Linked DNA regions of Caenorhabditis elegans. The protein of the gene in region 1 interacts with the protein of each later gene in a pairwise test. Each region holds a gene or a part of one and is shown on either strand. Other genes may lie near its edges.

Region 1 (6,013 bases):
CGTTTGGATAAATCCACCACGCCAGGGAGTCTGAAAAAGAGAAATGTCCAATCATAGAAAAATAAATAAACGTCAACCTTGAACTGAGCTGAAAGGGGCCCAAATCGTGAGTTTCAAAATGGATACTGTGACAATGAAGAAAATGGTGGACAGATATCCGCATGCAGCACCAGCTAATCTCTTTCTAACACTGATTTCCGCTTGAAACCAATCCACGATTTGATCGAAAATTGTGATTGGCTTCTGTTGAACACGCGGTGAACTGACTGTGCGGTTTGGGGACCTTCGCAAGTTTGGTGAAGATGATGAACTGCTTGCAGCGGGAAAATCGTTCTTTCTATAATTATTCTCATTGTATGAATCTTTACTTAATTGATACCTTCTTCCCGGAGAAAATTGATTATATAGATGTTCATCTGTCGTTGTTGTGAATGAAGAATGACTATCACCCATCATTTCTGAAACAATAAATCAGTGAATTAGAGTTCCAAACGGGAAAACCCATAAATAACAAATAAAATGAAGTTTAAATGATAATTTATTTGAATTCAATTGGAAAATAATCATTGAAGTTCGAGGAAATAATAAGAAAACTAATAAATGAACGAAATCATTTCGAAAACTGCGCCAAAAGGCAAATAAATTTGAACTCGAAAAGTACATTGTCATTGGAGCGCGCTTTCCCCAACGGCGGGAAAGTTAATTTTTCAAACATCATTCAGACGACAGTGGTTACTGCGGTGGTGGTTGTTCCTTCTGTTGGTTCTTTGTCAGGTTCGTCGTCTTCGCGTTCACTCAATGAAATATCTGGAATAGATGATTATTAATGTTTAAATAAAGTTAATTTTACCTGAGTCATCAATAATTGCGTTACTCTCCTCATAGTATAGCTCAATCCCGTTAATACATTGCATTTCCTCCTCGCATTTCACACAGAAAAGAGTCACTGAGAAACAGTTGATACAGTAAAAAGCACTACAATGAACACACACTCGCACATTTCTGAATTAATAGCTTTGTTTTCTTGATCATCAATAAACAAAACTAACTCTTGATCAGACACTTTCATATCGTACTTTTCACATTTTACACAATCGGAGCACACGAATCCACGACTTTGCATTGTTCTCCGAATTATGACATCTTCACCACCCACTACATCTTTCTGTCAATTATCAATGTTACGAGTGCAAAAATTACTTTTAAATCAAATCGGAATGTCAAATTCAGGAAAAAATATATCTGTTTTTGAATACTATCAATTCGCAAAATCGGGATTTATCACTCAAAAAATACGGTACCGGTGACGTAGTGATGTAGTAAGTAGTACTGTAGTGGCTAACTTTTTTTCAATGTTTAAGTTGTGAATATCGAGGAATTGAAAATATTTCAGTCAACTCGAGACCGGAAATTCCCATTTACCTTATTATTTCCTAACATTTCTGTCAGCAAATTTCGTCGACTTTGTAAAATTTTGTTATAAAGGCTCAATGCACGAATTCTTACTCGATTCGGAAAGAAGTAATCTGCCAATACAAGTGTTTGCCTTCCAAAATATGCCTTCAAAAATTAAATATATCTTAACAGTACTCCTCAACTCTTCAAACCTTCAATCGACAAAGAAAAAGTGCAGCGATAAACATGAGAAACATCACCATATTTTCTGTATAGTTTGGAGGATTTGGTTCGTTGAAACATCGTCTCCAACGATTTTCACGGTCTCGAATACTTTTAGTAAATGGACTGAAAACATCGAGAAATTCATTCATCACATCTGACATTGAACTATTTCCAGCAACTTTCAATTCATAATGAGCAGGAGTATCGATATTTGTTCGGTTCATTAAAGTATGAACAGTTGATAGAGTCTGAAACTTTGAATCTATAGATTTGAAGTCAATATAATTTTATTCATTTAATTACCGTAAATATACCATAATCAAGCATACACATAAAGAAAGGAGTGACACAACTGACAATTGTGATGAAAATATCTAATCGAAATTTAGGTCGCTCTTGTTCTGTCATTTTCCACTGACCTCGACTGACATACTAAACGGTGTCTAAGATTTTTAGAATGATAATGAACCAGAGAAACCTACCTGCTTTGATTCATTTGCCATTAATGGCATGACTTTACGAGCTCCGCGAAATGCACAATCTTGATCAATTTTTGTAAATTCTTTTGTGAGAAAACGGTTTTTAAAGTCGTCATTATAGTTGTAGTTATACATGAACCGAAGTGTCTGAAAAATATCAGTTCAAAATTTTGTATGTTAACATATTACTTATTTAAACTCACATAGATGAACGGCCATATGAGCAATCCTGGCATGATACAATATCGAAGAATAAATGAAATTATATTGATAATCCGTATGTATACATTCACAATTCCCATCAAACTTTTCTTTATACTTGCTCTCAAGTTTGCAGTTGTATCATCTGCAGCATTTGGTTTACCATCATCAGATGACTGGTATTCAGCTCGAATGTTTTTCGCCTTTTTTATCTCTTCTATCACTGGATTCACTTTCTTCAGTGCCCATTTTGCTGCTTCAATGTGTACGTAGAAAATCTTTTTCACCGCGAATTCAATTGCTTGAAAGTAAGCTGCATAAAATGGTACAGCTGCTCCTTTAACTCCTTTTCCAATGATAGAAGGTAAAGAACATACTTCCGTTGAGAAACCCTTTGCTTGATGGCAAATCTTAATGTTTTATAATAGGATTGATATGTTGACTGATTGAATACCTTTGCAGTTTTCTGAATCATTTCACAAGCATCGCCGTGGCTTCCAAAAAATCGAGCTTTCCCCTTACAATAAAAATATGCGTCGTCGAAAATATCAAGACATTTTGTATAGGGAGTTTTGAGCATATTTCGACATTGATTTGACAAGTTGGCTATAACTCGATAATGTCGCCTCATGATGTCCACAAATCTTAATTGAAACAATATCAATTTAATCAAATTACAAGAATTTGACATTTTGGGTATCCCAATTGCAACTTACTTTGTCATCTTTTCATCTAGAACCAATAGCATTTTCTTGACCTTATTCATTGGACCAGATACATTTTGAAGAAGTGCACGAAACCGAGAAACAAGCATAGCTCCTTTATCCATTACATTCCCTTCCACATCATTTCTTGAACTCATAACATCAATTTGAACGCAGGCAACACCAGAAGCTACTTGATGAATATTTCCAATAACATTCATTGCAGGACCCTGAAATTAGTTTGAGATGTTCCCGTGAATAGATGAATTGATAAAACTTCAAAAGCCATTGTGACAAGAAGAATTAAAATTATGTTTTTGATTTTTGTAGTCAACATGACGTGGATAGAAATCATAAAGTACGTCATCATCTGAAACGAAATATTTTATTAATTCCACATAAAAATCCTGAAGTACTTACTTTTGGAAATATCAAAGTGAAAATCAGAAAAACGTGGATAATTGTGGATATGGAAGTTCCAATACTATATTGAAAATATTTAACTTTAGATTTAGGATATGATCTACTTACAACTCCGGGTATTGTGAATATTTGAACGACAACAGAAAATACATAACTATTCCAAATAATTCAATCATTAGGATGTTTCGGAATAGAAGTACAATAGAATTAGCTCTGGAAAAATAATTTTAAGATTTTCTTTTTTCTCAAAATAATTCCAAAAACCTTGTTCCATCTTCGAATAAATTGTCATAAATCCCATCATCTTTTTCCTTTTTCCATGGAGGATATAAAACGGACAACCATTTTTTCAAACGTTCAGAATATCTTAAAACTCGGTTTTGACCTGATTTTTCTCTGAAATTTTTCATGTGTTTGAACAAAATCCACACTCTAACCAACCGTCTGATATTATTAACCACAAATTGAAACTTTCTCACAGCTCGATTGGCTCGACGTTTTACATTCCATAATCCAATTAAGCCCATAGTTGATACAATTCAGTTAGATTTTAAAAAGGTGAAATAAATATTTTCACCATGATACGTTTTGAAAATTTGTGAACCGCTGGCAAACAGATTTGAGTTCACGTTTTGAACATTTTCTCCGAATTGGGAAACTGCAGGTGTCCCTTTTCTCGGCTTTGCTTACTAAAGAGCCAAGAGAGCCAAACGGATTGGCATTTGAGACCTATGTGATTCAATAGCTCATGTTTTGAAACGGTTATACGTGGAAAAGTTAGAATAAGGTTTTCAAGCAAAATGTGCCTACTTGTGTGCCTATGAAACCAATTATTTCGAATTTTTCAGAACTACGAGCTTCAATGGAACTATAGTATACACTAACTATAGGATATACATCTCTCGGAACCGCTGGCAACAATATTAATTTTTCAAACATTTGTGAACTGAATTACAGAATACACGTTACCAAAAGTACATCGATTGTTTATTTCTTTTTATCACCAGAAGTACATCTGATTTCGGAACAGGCGTTCACTAATTTTCGTTGCTTCATTGCAATGAAAAAAACGAGTTGCTTATCGTAATGCTTGTTATCATATCACTGTATCTATTGCCACTTCATATCTCATTTCCTCTTTTTGTAGGCCGATTTGGGTCAATCCGATATAGAGAACACCTATAAACAAACCCCTTTTTTTTCATTTTATGACGTGAACATTCAGATCCTCAATAAAACGGATGGGTGTGGTTATGTTCTTGTCCCCTCGAACACAACTTTTAATTGTATTTCTAATTCTCTGAAGAATTTCAGATTTCTGAAGAGAAGAATTCAATTGTACTGTCATTCCCGTCCCTTTTTGGGGCTTCCGACGCAATGTTGCCTCTTTTCAATAGATACGACGAATAAAAAAAAACAAAAAACAAAGAAAATGATTTTGCTTCCGATTGCTCACCAGGCTTCAATCTATACTGTACATTTTTCCCCAATAAATATAAAATTTGGATAGTAGAGAGACAGAAAATCAAAAAAAAATATATCGTAACTTGTATATTGTTCCATAAGAGAGACGCACAAAAGGATATATTTGATGGTGTGTGAAACCCGAAATCGTCGTGGTTACCCCCGTTGTCGGCGACAATTTCAACAGACTTTTCATACTGACTGGTTTTCGGTCGACAGTCATTTTTCACCCACTTTCAATTTGACTAAACTTGGTCAGTGTTCGGTTTTTCATTGGTTACACAACCTTAGATTTTTTATTCTTTGTGTTTGATCCCTGATTTGACTAGAAAACATTAATTTGCTTGTTTGATACTCAATTTCCCATGTGCCAGTTTAATTTTGACAGTTGTAGGAATTCCTGGTTTCGTTAAAAATTAGTATTTCAACCATTGATTTGTTTTTGAAGGTATCTGTTAATCTATCAAGAATTTATTGTAAGAAACCACAAACTCGCCAAAATCTTGGTTTTGTATTTATTTTTCATATTTATTTTTTGTATTATCTATTTTTTAAACTCACTTTCTTACTGACTTGGCTTACATAAATAAAACCGTTCAAATTAGATGATAGATGACTTTCAAGAACTTAAAATTGGCAGAGAGTTACCTTTTTCAAAATGATGCGTATAATTCGGCACAATTTAGTTTTCAACACAATACAACATAAACAAAAAGTAAACAAAATTTTTAAAAGTTCGTCAATTATCAATTTGGTCAATTGTACGTAGTAATTGAATCCTTCTTTCCATCAACCGTAACCATATTTCGACTTTTGCTTGCCCCTTTTCCGTTTAATTAGCCTTTCCTCCCACTTTCCCCCGTGCCCACCTATTTCCTCTCGTACTTTTTTTTATCGTTTTTCGAGTACCTTTTTTCTGCTTTTCATTGTGTTATTCGACCCCGTATTTCTAACTTTCTGCAACCTGTTTCTTGTTTTAAACTATTTTAAACAAGTCAACATTCCTTCCCATCTCTGTCGGTCACTTTCATCTCCTAATCGTTCAGACATTGTTGCGATACTTGAACTTTTATTGTACTGTTTTAGTCTGATTGTTTTTTCGCGTTTTAATGTTTCTCTCGA
Region 2 (5,611 bases), on another chromosome or scaffold:
ACTGTAGGGTTGCGGTAGGGGTTCTGTAGTGATACTGTAGAATTGCTGTCGGCTTACTATAGTGTTGCTGTAGTGTTGCTGTAGGGTTACGGTACAGATACTGTAGGGGTACTGTAGTAATAATTTAGGATAACTCGAGGGGTTCCTTAGTGGTACTGTAGTGATAATTTAGTAGTACTGTAGGCCTATTGTAGCGTTACTGTAAGGGTATCATAGTGGTACTTACTCGATGGAGTACTGTAGCATTACTGTAGGGTTACGGTAGCGTTTCTGTAGGGGAGCTGTAGTGGTACTGTATGGTTACTGTAAGAGTACTTTAGGGTTACTGTAGGGATGATGTTGGGGTACTGTAGGACTACTGTAGGAGTAGTGGGACTGAGACGATAAATTCTTAATTTTCTTCAAGTGGTTTGGTCAGTCACCCATACATCCCGAGAAGTCTATTCCATTTCCACCTGTTTCAATGTAAAAAACTCAATTTAAACATTCAAAACTTTATTTTTTCTACTCAAAAATCAATCAATCAGCTTTCTGTGGCGACTTTGCAGGCGAAGCACTAGTTGGCGTACGTGCTTGTGGTGGACGGATGCGTGGAAGAACCGGTGCACGGGGGACCAGGTCTCGACGCGAAATCACACTGCAGGCTTCGATAAGGACTGAAAAATGAATATTGTAGGTTTAAGGTAGGCACATGGTAAATAAAATTTCGAATCACTAAAAAATTGTATCAGTAACCAGACAACAAACAAGAGATTATCAACGGATTTAGTACTGAAGCCTCTGAAAAAGAAAATAGAAAAATCCGGTTGTTTTGCTACCAAAAAAATACGTTCAGGATAATTTTTTCGCTGAAAAAAGGGGAGAATTATCGATTTTCTCTACCTGCAACAATTCCGGTAGACGGTTTCCATTGATTTTCCTCCAAAAACAGGAATTTCATATTTTTATCAGTTTTGCAAGTGATCGCCGGCGGCGAGAACGGGAATTTCGGCGGAATTGCGACGGTTACGATGTACTCGGTGTAGGGCGGTCCGTACTGAAATTTGATTATTGATTTTTTTTTTGCGTGGCGCCGCCGCTCTCACCGTCTTTAGAGTCACGTCAAAGCAAGTTTTCGACGGCGGCGGCTCGAATCTCACCGCGTAGAACATTCCAGAACCCTCGACAGCCGACGCCTGGAAAAGAATTAATATTTAGAAAATACATCGATTTTTGTTCTGAAAGTAGGGCTCCCATGAGGTCGCCGCATGAATAGTGTGGCGCGGAACCGCAAACATGTCGGCCGCTACCAAATAGCCGCTCCACACACACAGCGGCGCGCGGTGTCGGCGTAAGGCCGGCCGGATAGGGCCAGAGAGGGGCCGGCGTGAAGCCCGAATTTTGCGCCTCACTCAGTTGGGAGCCCTGGGAGCCCCATTTGAAACATTTTTAACTTTCCCAGAAATTCTCGACAATTTTCTGAAAACCTGTCGGTTTTTTTATTGATTTTTCCCCAAAAATCAATAAACTAGAACGCTAACTCACCACGACGCTATCGATCCGTTTTTCGCAAACTTTTTGCATTATTACTTTGAAATTTTCGTGAAATAAATGTTATTCTGGTGTTGGTTGTGTTGTTTTTTGCCGTCGACAGTGAGTTTTCACGTTTTATCGATTTTTTCGAGCATTATCGATTTATCCCGAAAAATCAATAAACTGGAACGTCACGATGCTATCGATTCGTTTTACGCAATCTTTTTGCATTATTGCTCTGAAATTTTCGTAAAATGAATGTGATTCTGGTGTTGGTTGTGTTGTTTTTCGCCGGCGACTGTGAGTTTTTCATGTTTTATCGATTTTTTTCGGAAAAATTATCGATTTTTTTAATTTTCAGGTGCAAAAATCAGAAAAATTATTGATTTTTTGGAGAAAGATGCTCCGAATGATATTGAAAAAACACCCAACTATAATGAAGAAAGTCTGGCGGTGAAAAGGGTAAATTATCGATTTTTGCGATGGGGCGCGTTTGCATTTTTATGGAATTTAAATATTTTTAGAACAAAAACTTCAATCCTTGTCTGGAAAATCCGAAAATTTGCTCAAATCGGGGAAAATGCTTGCATGAAAATGGAAAGTGAGAGTTTTTGCCAACTTTTCAGATTAAAAAGGCAATATTTTCAGCTTCTATTGCATTTGCCCGGTCACACATTACGGAAAAACGTGTGAACACGTGTCAGATCAAACGAATTGCGAGAAACACTTGTGTCAGAATAATTCTACGTGTGTCAGGTTGGAAAACATTCGTTTTTTTCTGTGAATTTTTATGGCAACTGTTTCGGTGTACACAAGTTGTGTCTATGCCCTCCAGCCGTTAGTCGCCGGCGGAGAGATGGCCGAGCGGTCCAAGGCGCTGGTTTAAGGCACCAGTCCCTTCGGGGGCGTGGGTTCGAATCCCACTCTCTTCAGTTCTTTTTTTCCCTTTTTTAAATTATCATTACCTCTGTTTCAGCATCAAAAGCCTGCGGACTATTGTCAATACAGTTCTTTTGAGACAAATTCGTGTCCAAAGAAAAGTAAACGGATCCAAAGCAGCTTTAACAAATGAAGAATTGGCTGAAATCGATTTAGAAGTGAATTACGAGTGTATATGCCAAAAGGGGTACTTTGGCGGGTTATGCGATGAGTCTGAAGCAGATCGAACTTGCCAAGAAGTGTATTGTTTGGGCAGAGGCAAGGGAGCAATTAATGCGACTGGAAAATGCGAGTGTGAATGTGAAAATCAATTCTTTGGAGATAGAGTGAGCGTTTACAACTTCAGAATTTCTTCTGAAATATGTTTAAATTCCAGTGTGAACAAATATCAGCTTGCTTCGACACTCAATGTGATAATGGTGGAATATGTGAAGATGTGGTAGATTGGAAGGTATTTTTTTCAAGATTCGAGAAAATATTTTATCTAAACATAGAAAAACGTAAGCCCAATGCGGGGCTCGAACCCGCGACAACCAGATTAAGAGTCTGGTGCTCTACCGACTGAGCTAACCGGGCGGCGTTAACTCTTACAACAGAGGGTCTAGAGAAATGTTGGGTAACAACGAGACTTGATAGACAGAACAAAAAGTGACCTTCAAATTACACACCTTCTATTTCAGACCAAAACCGTCACTGCCACCTGTAAATGTCCTTCTGCGATTGAACTTATTGGTGGTACTGTAACAGGTGGGTAAAAAAAAAAAAAAAATATTTCAAATTCTGTGAATTTCAGAAAAATTTCAGGTGAAAACTGCGAAACCCTTCAAATTCCTTCAACAGCCCCCAAAGAATTTATTCCATGTGCCGAGGGAAGTAATTCGACGATGTTTTTTAAGAAATTCATCGCAAAGTAGGAAAAGTTTATAGAATGGTTGTAAAACTCACATTTTCAGTATTTCCTTGGAATATATGGATGACATTTCGGAGTTGGAAGCAATTAAAAATGACTACAATGATGGGAAGAATGTCAATGGGACGATGACTGATGGATGGTGTAGAAATGATGGGAAGTGTGTACCTGAAGTTGTTCGAGGTAGGAAAATTCAATTACCACAATTCTCCCGGTAACTCAACTTTTTTCTAACACCTTTTTGTCAGTACGTTCGCCGCCCGGTTAGCTCAGTCGGTAGAGCACCAGACTCTTAATCTGGTTGTCGCGGGTTCGAGCCCCGCATTGGGCTTACGTTTTTGTAAAAATTTTTAACACCGCGCTAAAACGTATGCACAAAATTCTGGCCTATGCCTGCCTTGTTCCATTCTCATACCTAATGTTTCAGTGAACAGCTCCCGAGCCTACTACATCTATCGCTGCGAATGTACCAATCCTCTCACCGACGGTTACTATTGTGAGTACAAACGCCATGACTCTTGCTCTTTGACTCGAGAGGAGGTGGCTCGCGGGGACCGGTGGGACGAAAAGTGCACGGATTCTCAACACGGAGCATGTGTGGATATTAGTGGAGTGGCTCATTGTGTGTTAGTGCACCTACCTGCCTGCCTTTTACCTAGTAGCCCTAATTTCAGATGCAAGCCGGACTACACCGGCGAGAAATGCGAAATCTTCGACCCGTGTGCTCGGCAACCTTGCAAGCACGGTGACTGTATCCCGGTAGGCACATCGAGGCCTCTGAAAATCAGCGAAAAAATTTCAGATACCGAACACTGCCGACGTGGCATTCGGCACAAGTCGCTATCAATGCTTATGCCCATTATCCGCAAAGTTGAACCCGGAAAGCCAAGCCTGCATGGAAATTAACGAGAAGAAGTGTGCTCCCGGAGCCTGTGGCAACGGACGGTGTGTTCCTTGTGAGAGGTAAGAGATTGCCTTTGTACCTACCTACCTACCTACCTACTTTAATATTTTCAGCGATGCCGATGACCTGATGCCTCTCTGTAACGACAATGACAATCGCCAGGGATTCCGATGCCTCTGCGAAGCCGGGTACCTTCCACCGTTTTGCAAAGTCCATACAAACCCCTGCTACCAAAACCTGTGCCAGAACAGTGCCACATGCCATATCGACCCAAAGCAGCGGAGTTATGAGTAGGGCTACAAACTACAGATACTGCAAACTACAGTCGTTCTTTTCAGCTGTCAATGCGTCAATGGGACACGTGGCTCGTTGTGTGAGAATGTGGATGACTCGTGTGATGCGTTTGGTAAGTTAGAAGCTTCATGTTTACCTGCCTGCCTACCGCTAAGCCTACAGGAAACAAAATCTGCGTCCATGGAACCTGTATCAATGATGAGTACTTTCACCGGGGCTTCTCGTGTGAGTGTGACGACGGATTTGAGGGTCTCGACTGCAACGTGGAAATCGCCTGGTCCAGTGTGATGACCAATCGGCTTATGGTAAATTACTCAAATAGTTTAAAATATAATATTTCTGCGTGTTTCAGAAGAACTATGAATTTTCGTTGCCACTGGTTGCGTGCTTCGTCTCGCTGGCTATTCTTCTGCCAGTGATTGTGATCAGTAGACGGCGTCAGGGAAGAGTAGAAGAGGCGAAGAAAACGTCAGAAGTGAAAACTGAGAATCCATAAAGACATTTTTTTTTAATTAATTGTTATTTAACATCTATAAAGCTTTGCAAATATCAGAAAGTTTTGCTCAGGAAATGATCGGTGACACACGGATTCATATTTACGGCGCATTGCGTGTCGCGTCGCGGCTCAATTTTAGCTGTAAAACTAAATGTATTTGTCCGTGTCGAATACACGACTGTCCCACGCGTTGTCCGGCGGGCGATTGCCAATGTAGCGCTCAAATTTCAATGAGGCACGTGTAGTCAGAAAGTCCCATTTCGCTTTGATCTACGAAAAATGCGAGAGGTGAGACGCAGGCATCTCAACTGATTTCGCATGGTTAAGAGTGTGCTGACATCACAATTTGTCTGGAAAAAAATTCCCGCATTTTTTGTAGATCAAACCGCAATGAGACTTTCTGACGCCACGTGATGAGGAAGGCCAGAACCCCGTGGTGCTAGTCCCTCTCTATTTCTCACTATTAGGGGGTCTGCATGGTAGGCAGGCATTGATTCAGGTGGCAGGTCTATCCTGATACCTACCTGACAACCTGCCGTAGGTCTCTTTGAAGGTA
Region 3 (4,329 bases), on another chromosome or scaffold:
GAAATCAATGGAAAACCAATTCATCATCATGATTGTGTGGATGATGGGGAATTTGGAGCAAGTTCGAAAATGTTAGAGCTCATGGATCGAATGAAAGCGGATAATGTGATGGTAATAGCTTTTTTTCCGCGAGAAAATCCGCTGAAAATTGAGCAAAAACGATGAATTTCGGGTTTTGAGTGAGGCTCAGGGGGTTTTGTAGTTTGTAGTCTCTGAGTCTCACCCAATTTTTGAATTTTCTATTAGTTTTTTTGTAAAAAAGTGAAATTCGTTAATTTTTTTGCGTTTCTTGAACATTTTCAATTTGAAACTCGAAAAAATTCGAATTTTAGTTTCAAACACACCCTGAAATTCCGTTTTTGGTGAGGCTGAGCCGGGGTTTGTAGTTTGTAGTCTCTGAGCCTCACCCAAATTTCCATAGTTATTTTAACGGTTTTTTCCTGTAAAAATAAACTTTTCCACTGGTTTTTCCAAAAATATTGAGAAATCTTGTTATTTTTTTGGGTTTCTTTTTAAAAAAATTCGAATTTTAGTTCAAAAAACACTCAAAAACCGATAAAATTCAGCTTTTTGTAGTTTGTAGTCTCTTAGCCTCACCATTTTTTTTTAGTTTTTTAACAGATTTTTTCTGTAAAAATATAGTGAAATTCGTTATTTTTTGCGTTTCGTGAACATTTTCAATGTGTAACTCAAAAAATTCGAATTTTATTTTGAAAAACACCCTAAAATCAAGTTTTGAGTGAGGCTCGGAGCATTTTGTAGTTTGTAGTCTCTCAGCCTCACCCATTTTTCGTAGCTTTTCAACGGATTTTAGCGGTAAAATAGGATTTTCTACTAGTTTTTTTTTCGCAAAAAAGTAAAATTTATTAATTTTTCTGAGTTTCGTAATTATTTTCAATTTGAAACTCGAAAAAATTCGAATTTTAGTTTCAAACACACCCTGAAATTCCATTTTTGGTGAGGCTGAGCCGGGGTTTGTAGTTTGTAGTCTCTGAGCCTCACCCAAATTTCCATAGTTATTTTAACGGTTTTTTCCTGTAAAAATAGAATTTTCTACAAATTTTTTAAATCAAAAATTGTGAAATCCGAATTTTTTTATGGGTTTTTAAAAAAATTCAAATTCTAGTTCAAAAAATACTCAAAAACCGATAAAATTCAGCTTTTTGTAGTTTGTAGTATCTGAACCTCACCGAAATTCCAAAATTTCTCAAAAAAAATTTGTTTTTTTTTGGTTTGTAGTTTGTAGTCAAGAAACTATAGTTTGTAGTGGTCCTGAGCCTTTTTCCAGAATATATTTTTGTAGTTTGTAGTCGCACGTGGAGTCAGAAAGTCCCATTTCGTTTTGATCTTCGAAAAATGCGGGAGAAGAGACGCAGACATCTCATCTCATTTCGTATGGTTAAGAGCGTGCTGACGTCACAATTTTTCTGGAAAAATATCCCCGCATTTTTCGTAGATCAAACCGCAATGAGACAGCCTGACACCACTTGTAGTCGAAAATAGCAAGATTGTTCAAATTCATTAGAAAAAATGTTTTTGTAAGAAAAAAGATTGATTTTTGCATATTAAAAATCTTAATGCTTAAAAAACTGAAAATTTTCCAATTTTGTAGTTTGTAGTCTCTGAGCCTCAACCAATTTCTTCTTTCAGGTCGTCGTTTCACGTTGGTACGGTGGAATTCATCTTGGACCCGATCGTTTTCGACATATTAATAATTTAACTCGGCAAATTTTAAGTGATAATAATTATGGACCGAAGAAGTCTTAAAATTCTATATTTTTTAACGTGATAATTTTTTTTTCTTCAATTTTAAACTCCCTACGTGTGCTTTTAATATTATTAATCCAACAACTCTTTCAAATTGTAATCATTTTCATTTATTTTTCAAAACATTGGTCACTTTATACTAATAAATAGTTTTTCAATCAAATATGCGTTTTCTGATGGAGTTGGGCTCACCGAACGATGCAAACTACACTGTATTCTGCTGTTCTCATGTCGTTTTGGCTTTTGCCATTTTTATGGTAATTTTTGGAAGTGTTCTGGGATAATTTTTGGAATTTTGGAATTAAAAAATTTTTTGAAAATTTTGGGAAAATTTTTTTTTTTTTCAAAAATTTCAAAACGTTTTTTTCACTTTTTTTTTTGAATTTCAAATATTTTCCAGATCCTTGACTTTACCCTAACTCTATTCTCATTTGGCTTAGAGCTTTTCCTCATTTTCGTAAGTTTTTCTCCTGAAAGTTCCCCTCAAAATCCCCAATTTTCCTGCAGTTCCACGACACTTTTGACCAATTTTGGGCGATTTTTCACGGAATTTCACTGGTTACTTCAATTTCCGCAGTTTTGGCGATTTGTGTGAGTATATTTGGCGGAAAATTTGAGAAAATCTGAAATTTTTGACTTAAATTTTAGGAAATTTTTTTTCTTAATCTGAAATTTTGAAGCTGTTTTCCCAAAAAAATCAATAAAAAAGCCTACGATTTCCATAATTACCAAAAAAAAAATCCAAAATTTCCTCATTTACACTCAAAAAAACCGTAAAACCCCGAGATTGAAGCTCAGACTACAAACTACAATGTTGGTTGAGGCTGAGCGCAGAATTGTAGTTTGTAGTCTGAGCCTCACCCAACATAATTATATTTCAGGATAATCCAGTGGCAATTATTGTTTATGGGTGTCGTGTTATGTTGATTTTGGGATTCGTTACAACTCGGTTCATGTGAGTTTGACTACAAACTACAAACTACAAACTACAAACTACAAACTACAAACTACAAAATGCAAACTACAAAATGCAAACTACAAAGTACAAACTACAAACTACAACTGGGAGGAACAAGCTTGCTGAGACTACAAACCACAATTTGGGGTTGCAACTCAAAAAGTTGTAGTCTGTAGTTAGTTTGTAGTTTGTAGTTTGTAGTTTGTAGCTTGTAGTTTGTAGTGTGCACTCTGTTTTTTGTAGTTTGTAACTTGCAAGTCATATTAGAAACATATTAGCAATTTTCCAAAGTTTCAAAATTCTCACCTAATTTCGCAATACCGATATCAGTACAATAAGTCTTATGGAAGTTGTAGTTTGTAGTTTATAGTTTGTAGTTTGTAGTTTGTAGTTTGTAGCCTGCAAGTGATGTTCGAGACGTATTGGCAATTTTCCAAAATTTCAAATTTCTTACCTAATTTCTCTAAACCAATACTAGTGCAATACGTGTTAGGGAAATAGTAGTTTGTAGTTTGTAGTCTGTAGTATGTAGTTTGTAGTTTGAATTTTGTAGCTTGAAAGTCATATTCGAGACATATTGAGGCTTTTCCAAAATTTCAAATTTCTCACCTAATTTCACAATACCGATATCAGTGAAATACGTGTTAAGGAAATTGTAGTTTGTAGTTTCTAGTGTGTAGTTTGTAGTTTGTAGCCCTTCCAACCCATTTCCAAACTTCAGAATCTCAATGCGTGATTTCACATCAAAAGAAGAGCCAACTCTGAGTGAATTGTTGAATTTATTCCAAATCGTGATTGTGATAATGTACACAATTGGCATTTTCCTAGTGATTCGTCTATTTACCTATTCAGCTGGAAGATATCGTGGATATTATGACGTGGATGATGATTTGAAAGACGAAATTCGAAAGTATGTTTTTAGGGATTTTGAAAAATTGAAAAAAATACGTTTTTTTCAGAAAATTCCTGGAGTATGAGGCGGATTTGGATGAGAAATCAGAGAAGAAGGATTAATTTTTTTAAACTTTTGAATGATTTTTAATAAAATGGCTGAGTAGTTTGGGTTTTCAACCGGAATTCAAATTTTCCTTCAATTTTTTTCTTTCTGCTCATTGAACAGGTCTCATAAGCTCGAGAAACTTCTGGAATGGATAATTTTTTGACTCTGTCGAAAAAGTGTCAATATTAATGCAAATTATGAAAATTTATTCTCAGAAACAATTACAATCATGTATTATAAACGTTTCTGCCATTCACCAAGCAGTCGGTACAACTTTTTTTTACCCAACACGATTCCGGACTTCTTGCTCCAGCGCAGTTTGCAATCCAACCATCACTTCTCACATCTTTATCACAAGTTTCCGCACATTTTGGTCTTTCAGCTTTTGGACGTAGTTCAGAACACGCAATACGGCAATAATCGTACCGATAGGTATAGGCATTACAGGCCGAGAGGCACAACAGCAGGAATAGTACGATTTTGGTTATCATTATGATGAAGTAGAATATGGTGATATTTAAAATTTTAAAAACGTGGAATTTGAGTTATTCGTTTTTAAGACAATTGTTATGCTACTTAGGCCCCGTCAACTGTCAATGTAAAC
Region 4 (2,665 bases), on another chromosome or scaffold:
GACTGCGCCTTTTTTTCTAATCAAATATTGAAATTCGCTGAATTGTGAGATATATGGGGGCAATTTAGACATTCTTGAACAAAGTTTCTGAACAAAAAAGAAGCGGAAACTGTTTAAAATTTCTCGATATGTATATCCATCAATTTTGCGAATCGCTGAAGTTTGATTTTCCTGATCGATGTTTGCTCCTGTCCTAACTTCGCTAAGTAATTTAGTCTTATCGCAGGAGAATCTTTTTTGTTTTTATTTTTTAATTTGTTCAGTTCAATTACATACTCATTATAGCCTGAGCTTTAAATCTTTCCTTATTTCCAGTTGTTTTCTTTTTTTGCTTTCCTTGTTTTCTATGTTTCAAAAATCCTTGTTTTCCTATTATACTGCCTTTCCTTTTTTCACTTTTCCAACCCACCCGCTGCTTTCCTTCTTCCAGTTAATCTTTTTTTATTAATTGTTTTTTTTAGATATTCTAATTTTCAGCCAGCTTCTTCCTGCCGTTCCTTTCTTTTCTCTTTTTTTCTCTATTCCACTTTACCCACAAGTTTTTCATAGCACTGCATAATATTTATTAAACTTTAGTCAATTCAAATATTTTATTAAAATAGAGTAATAGAGCCTCGCCTTCTTCTGAACGTTATAATAAAAATATAAAATTCAATCGTGAAGTTTACGCTGAAAGAAAACATACAAAAATTAGAATTACTCGTGAAGCTTACTCGAATAACTTTTGGAAATATTCCAAACCATCCGAAAAATATGACTCCGACGAGAAGAACTGAGAAAGCAATCAAAGAAATTCCCCCAATAAGATCACTGAAAAAATACGATTTCCAGAGCATAGCTCACAGCTGCGAAGAATTTGAACTCACAGAGCCATTCCATAACAAATTGGACCATTTTCCCAGCTGCAGATGAACCAAATTCGGTTTCCGTTGTGAGTATGACTATTCGTCATTTTGATATTATAGCAATTTATGATTTTAAAATGTAAAAATGAAGTTTATTCACGCGTCAATTCCAAAAGTGCAACAATAACAACGAAAAAATGTTACAATATATCCAACAAAGTATTCAATGTGTAACGATATTTTAACAAAAAATTAAATTCCAAAACGTCCGTTGAATCCAGAATGACATCCGAATTCGGCATATGGATTTGATTCGGTTGATTGTGCTGGACGAGCAGGTGGCGGTGGCGCAGATGGCTGCTGAGGGATGGGCCCAAGATTATCCGATCTGGCAGGTGGATTCTGAGCAGAAAATCTAACTTTTTGTCCTCCGCGGCGATCTCGTTTTCGCCCTCTGTTCGAATCGAATCCTCTTGACATTTGACTAGCTGGTTGGGTATCTGAAAATTACTAGAATTTGAAAGTAAATTTCAATTATATCTTACATGTGGTGCGTTTAAATTCTTTCTCCGCTTCATCATCACTGAACTCCACGTCACTACCGATGCCAACCTGAGCCATCGTTTCACCAGCTTTTGCAACAGCTTCTTGATGATCAATGCGACGATTTAGGGATTTAATAGCATCCCTATTTGCTGCAGCAAGATTAAGTCCTTTGAATGGAGTTTTGGAAAATTGTTCTTCTGTAGGAGCATAATATACTTTCATGTCAATGGGTATCATCGATGCCTATAAAACTTCTGTTATATATTTTATTTGTCTACTAAAAGCTTCACCTCTTCACAAGAATTGAATCGAATAACGTATTGTGGATTTTTGACTTGTCCAAAAATGTCATAAATTTGTCCCAACGCATTTCCTTTTTGATCGAAAAGAAATGAATCGAAGTCGAGAACTTCTGTGCATGTTGAAATGATAACAACTGAAATACCAATTCAATTAACATTTTATATAAGGTTGACATTTTTGACAATTTACCTTGACAATCCACGACTTTGCTTACAAAACCAAATTCCAGCAATTGTCCTTTACATTCAATACTGAGATTCTCGAGTGGTGGCATATCATCATACTCGTGAACATTACGCTAGAAATCTAATCATTCGAAAAAACATTTCAAAATAATGAAACCTTACCGTTTTTTGTGACTTTTTTGGCTTCCGCTGCTTTTTTCCATTTTCATCCGGGTACTCTGACTTGTGTGTCTTCTCAATAATCTTTGCGGAAAACTTTACTAGCCTGTCAAACTCTTCATCAGAATCAAGTGCACCGGCTCGTAAATCGTTGATATTTTCGAAATCGCTATCATCTCCAGAAAACTCAAATTCACTTTCAGTGTCGCATCCGAAGCTTTTCAATGATGGAGCCTGGCGAATTTCAGTAGGATTCACAACGGTGATAGGATCAACAAGATCCAAAAGTTGATCGACGATTCCATCTTCTGTCTTCATTCCAATTTTTGCGGGAAGTGTTGGTCGAGCACAGAAAGCAAGTGGCACAGGATTTCGATCGATAGTCTAAAATATGGAATATTTTTGGAATTTAAAAGGAAAACATACAATTGAATCATCCAGATTTTCGACTTTAATTGTTTCTTCCTCCATTCTTGATAATATTTTTGCAATGAGTGTAAATAAAAGAATTAACCTAAAAACGAAATAAATTTTTTAATTGAAAAAATTTTTGACGCGAAATCGGAGTGTCGTTTGTTAGTTTGTCATTGGAGCATGTTTGCATTTCACTGATTTCTCTCATTTTTT

Evidence for each region.
Region 2: the proteins of spe-42 (region 1) and spe-9 interact in a two-hybrid assay, tested with the Caenorhabditis elegans proteins (one study listed by BioGRID).
Region 3: the proteins of spe-42 (region 1) and spe-38 interact in a two-hybrid assay, tested with the Caenorhabditis elegans proteins (one study listed by BioGRID).
Region 4: the proteins of spe-42 (region 1) and spe-29 interact in a two-hybrid assay, tested with the Caenorhabditis elegans proteins (one study listed by BioGRID).

Annotation. Positions count from the first base shown.
Region 1 is NC_003283.11:11,733,015-11,739,027, forward strand, and holds spe-42 (Dendritic cell-specific transmembrane protein-like domain-containing protein), read right to left. Parts: upstream 3,983-6,013; 5' UTR 3,955-3,982; coding exon 3,869-3,954; intron 3,824-3,868; coding exon 3,692-3,823; intron 3,641-3,691; coding exon 3,536-3,640; intron 3,489-3,535; coding exon 3,425-3,488; intron 3,375-3,424; coding exon 3,282-3,374; intron 3,235-3,281; coding exon 3,017-3,234; intron 2,945-3,016; coding exon 2,755-2,944; intron 2,711-2,754; coding exon 2,303-2,710; intron 2,247-2,302; coding exon 2,103-2,246; intron 2,053-2,102; coding exon 1,924-2,052; intron 1,869-1,923; coding exon 1,608-1,868; intron 1,561-1,607; coding exon 1,423-1,560; intron 1,166-1,422; coding exon 1,050-1,165; intron 1,003-1,049; coding exon 851-1,002; intron 808-850; coding exon 719-807; 3' UTR 526-718; downstream 1-525. Other genes in the region: npp-22 (Nucleoporin ndc-1), read right to left, coding at 1-30, 78-337, 380-456.
Region 2 is NC_003279.8:11,582,203-11,587,813, reverse strand, and holds spe-9 (Sperm transmembrane protein 9), read left to right. Parts: upstream 1-1,744; 5' UTR 1,745-1,766; coding exon 1,767-1,812; intron 1,813-1,873; coding exon 1,874-1,974; intron 1,975-2,036; coding exon 2,037-2,113; intron 2,114-2,160; coding exon 2,161-2,268; intron 2,269-2,357; exon of another isoform or gene 2,358-2,456; intron 2,457-2,488; coding exon 2,489-2,777; intron 2,778-2,827; coding exon 2,828-2,902; intron 2,903-2,954; exon of another isoform or gene 2,955-3,027; intron 3,028-3,131; coding exon 3,132-3,198; intron 3,199-3,255; coding exon 3,256-3,361; intron 3,362-3,404; coding exon 3,405-3,544; intron 3,545-3,613; exon of another isoform or gene 3,614-3,703; intron 3,704-3,788; coding exon 3,789-3,987; intron 3,988-4,035; coding exon 4,036-4,120; intron 4,121-4,163; coding exon 4,164-4,324; intron 4,325-4,378; coding exon 4,379-4,555; intron 4,556-4,603; coding exon 4,604-4,671; intron 4,672-4,721; coding exon 4,722-4,864; intron 4,865-4,911; coding exon 4,912-5,055; 3' UTR 5,056-5,071; and 1 more. Other genes in the region: C17D12.5 (UBC core domain-containing protein), read right to left, coding at 520-656, 883-1,036, 1,086-1,175, 1,525-1,563. UniProt on the Caenorhabditis elegans protein: Required for fertilization. May be required for cell adhesion and/or function as a signaling molecule.
Region 3 is NC_003279.8:10,963,928-10,968,256, reverse strand, and holds spe-38 (uncharacterized protein), read left to right. Parts: upstream 1-1,874; 5' UTR 1,875-1,943; coding exon 1,944-2,024; intron 2,025-2,167; coding exon 2,168-2,224; intron 2,225-2,274; coding exon 2,275-2,358; intron 2,359-2,648; coding exon 2,649-2,722; intron 2,723-3,446; coding exon 3,447-3,635; intron 3,636-3,684; coding exon 3,685-3,739; 3' UTR 3,740-3,785; downstream 3,786-4,329. Other genes in the region: impt-1 (Protein IMPACT homolog), read left to right, coding at 1-111, 1,651-1,767.
Region 4 is NC_003282.8:9,932,197-9,934,861, reverse strand, and holds spe-29 (uncharacterized protein), read right to left. Parts: upstream 983-2,665; 5' UTR 953-982; coding exon 867-952; intron 811-866; coding exon 714-810; intron 670-713; coding exon 652-669; 3' UTR 540-651; downstream 1-539. Other genes in the region: F25H8.2 (H/ACA ribonucleoprotein complex non-core subunit NAF1), read right to left, coding at 1,098-1,345, 1,391-1,634, 1,682-1,827, 1,884-1,992, 2,042-2,422, 2,465-2,509.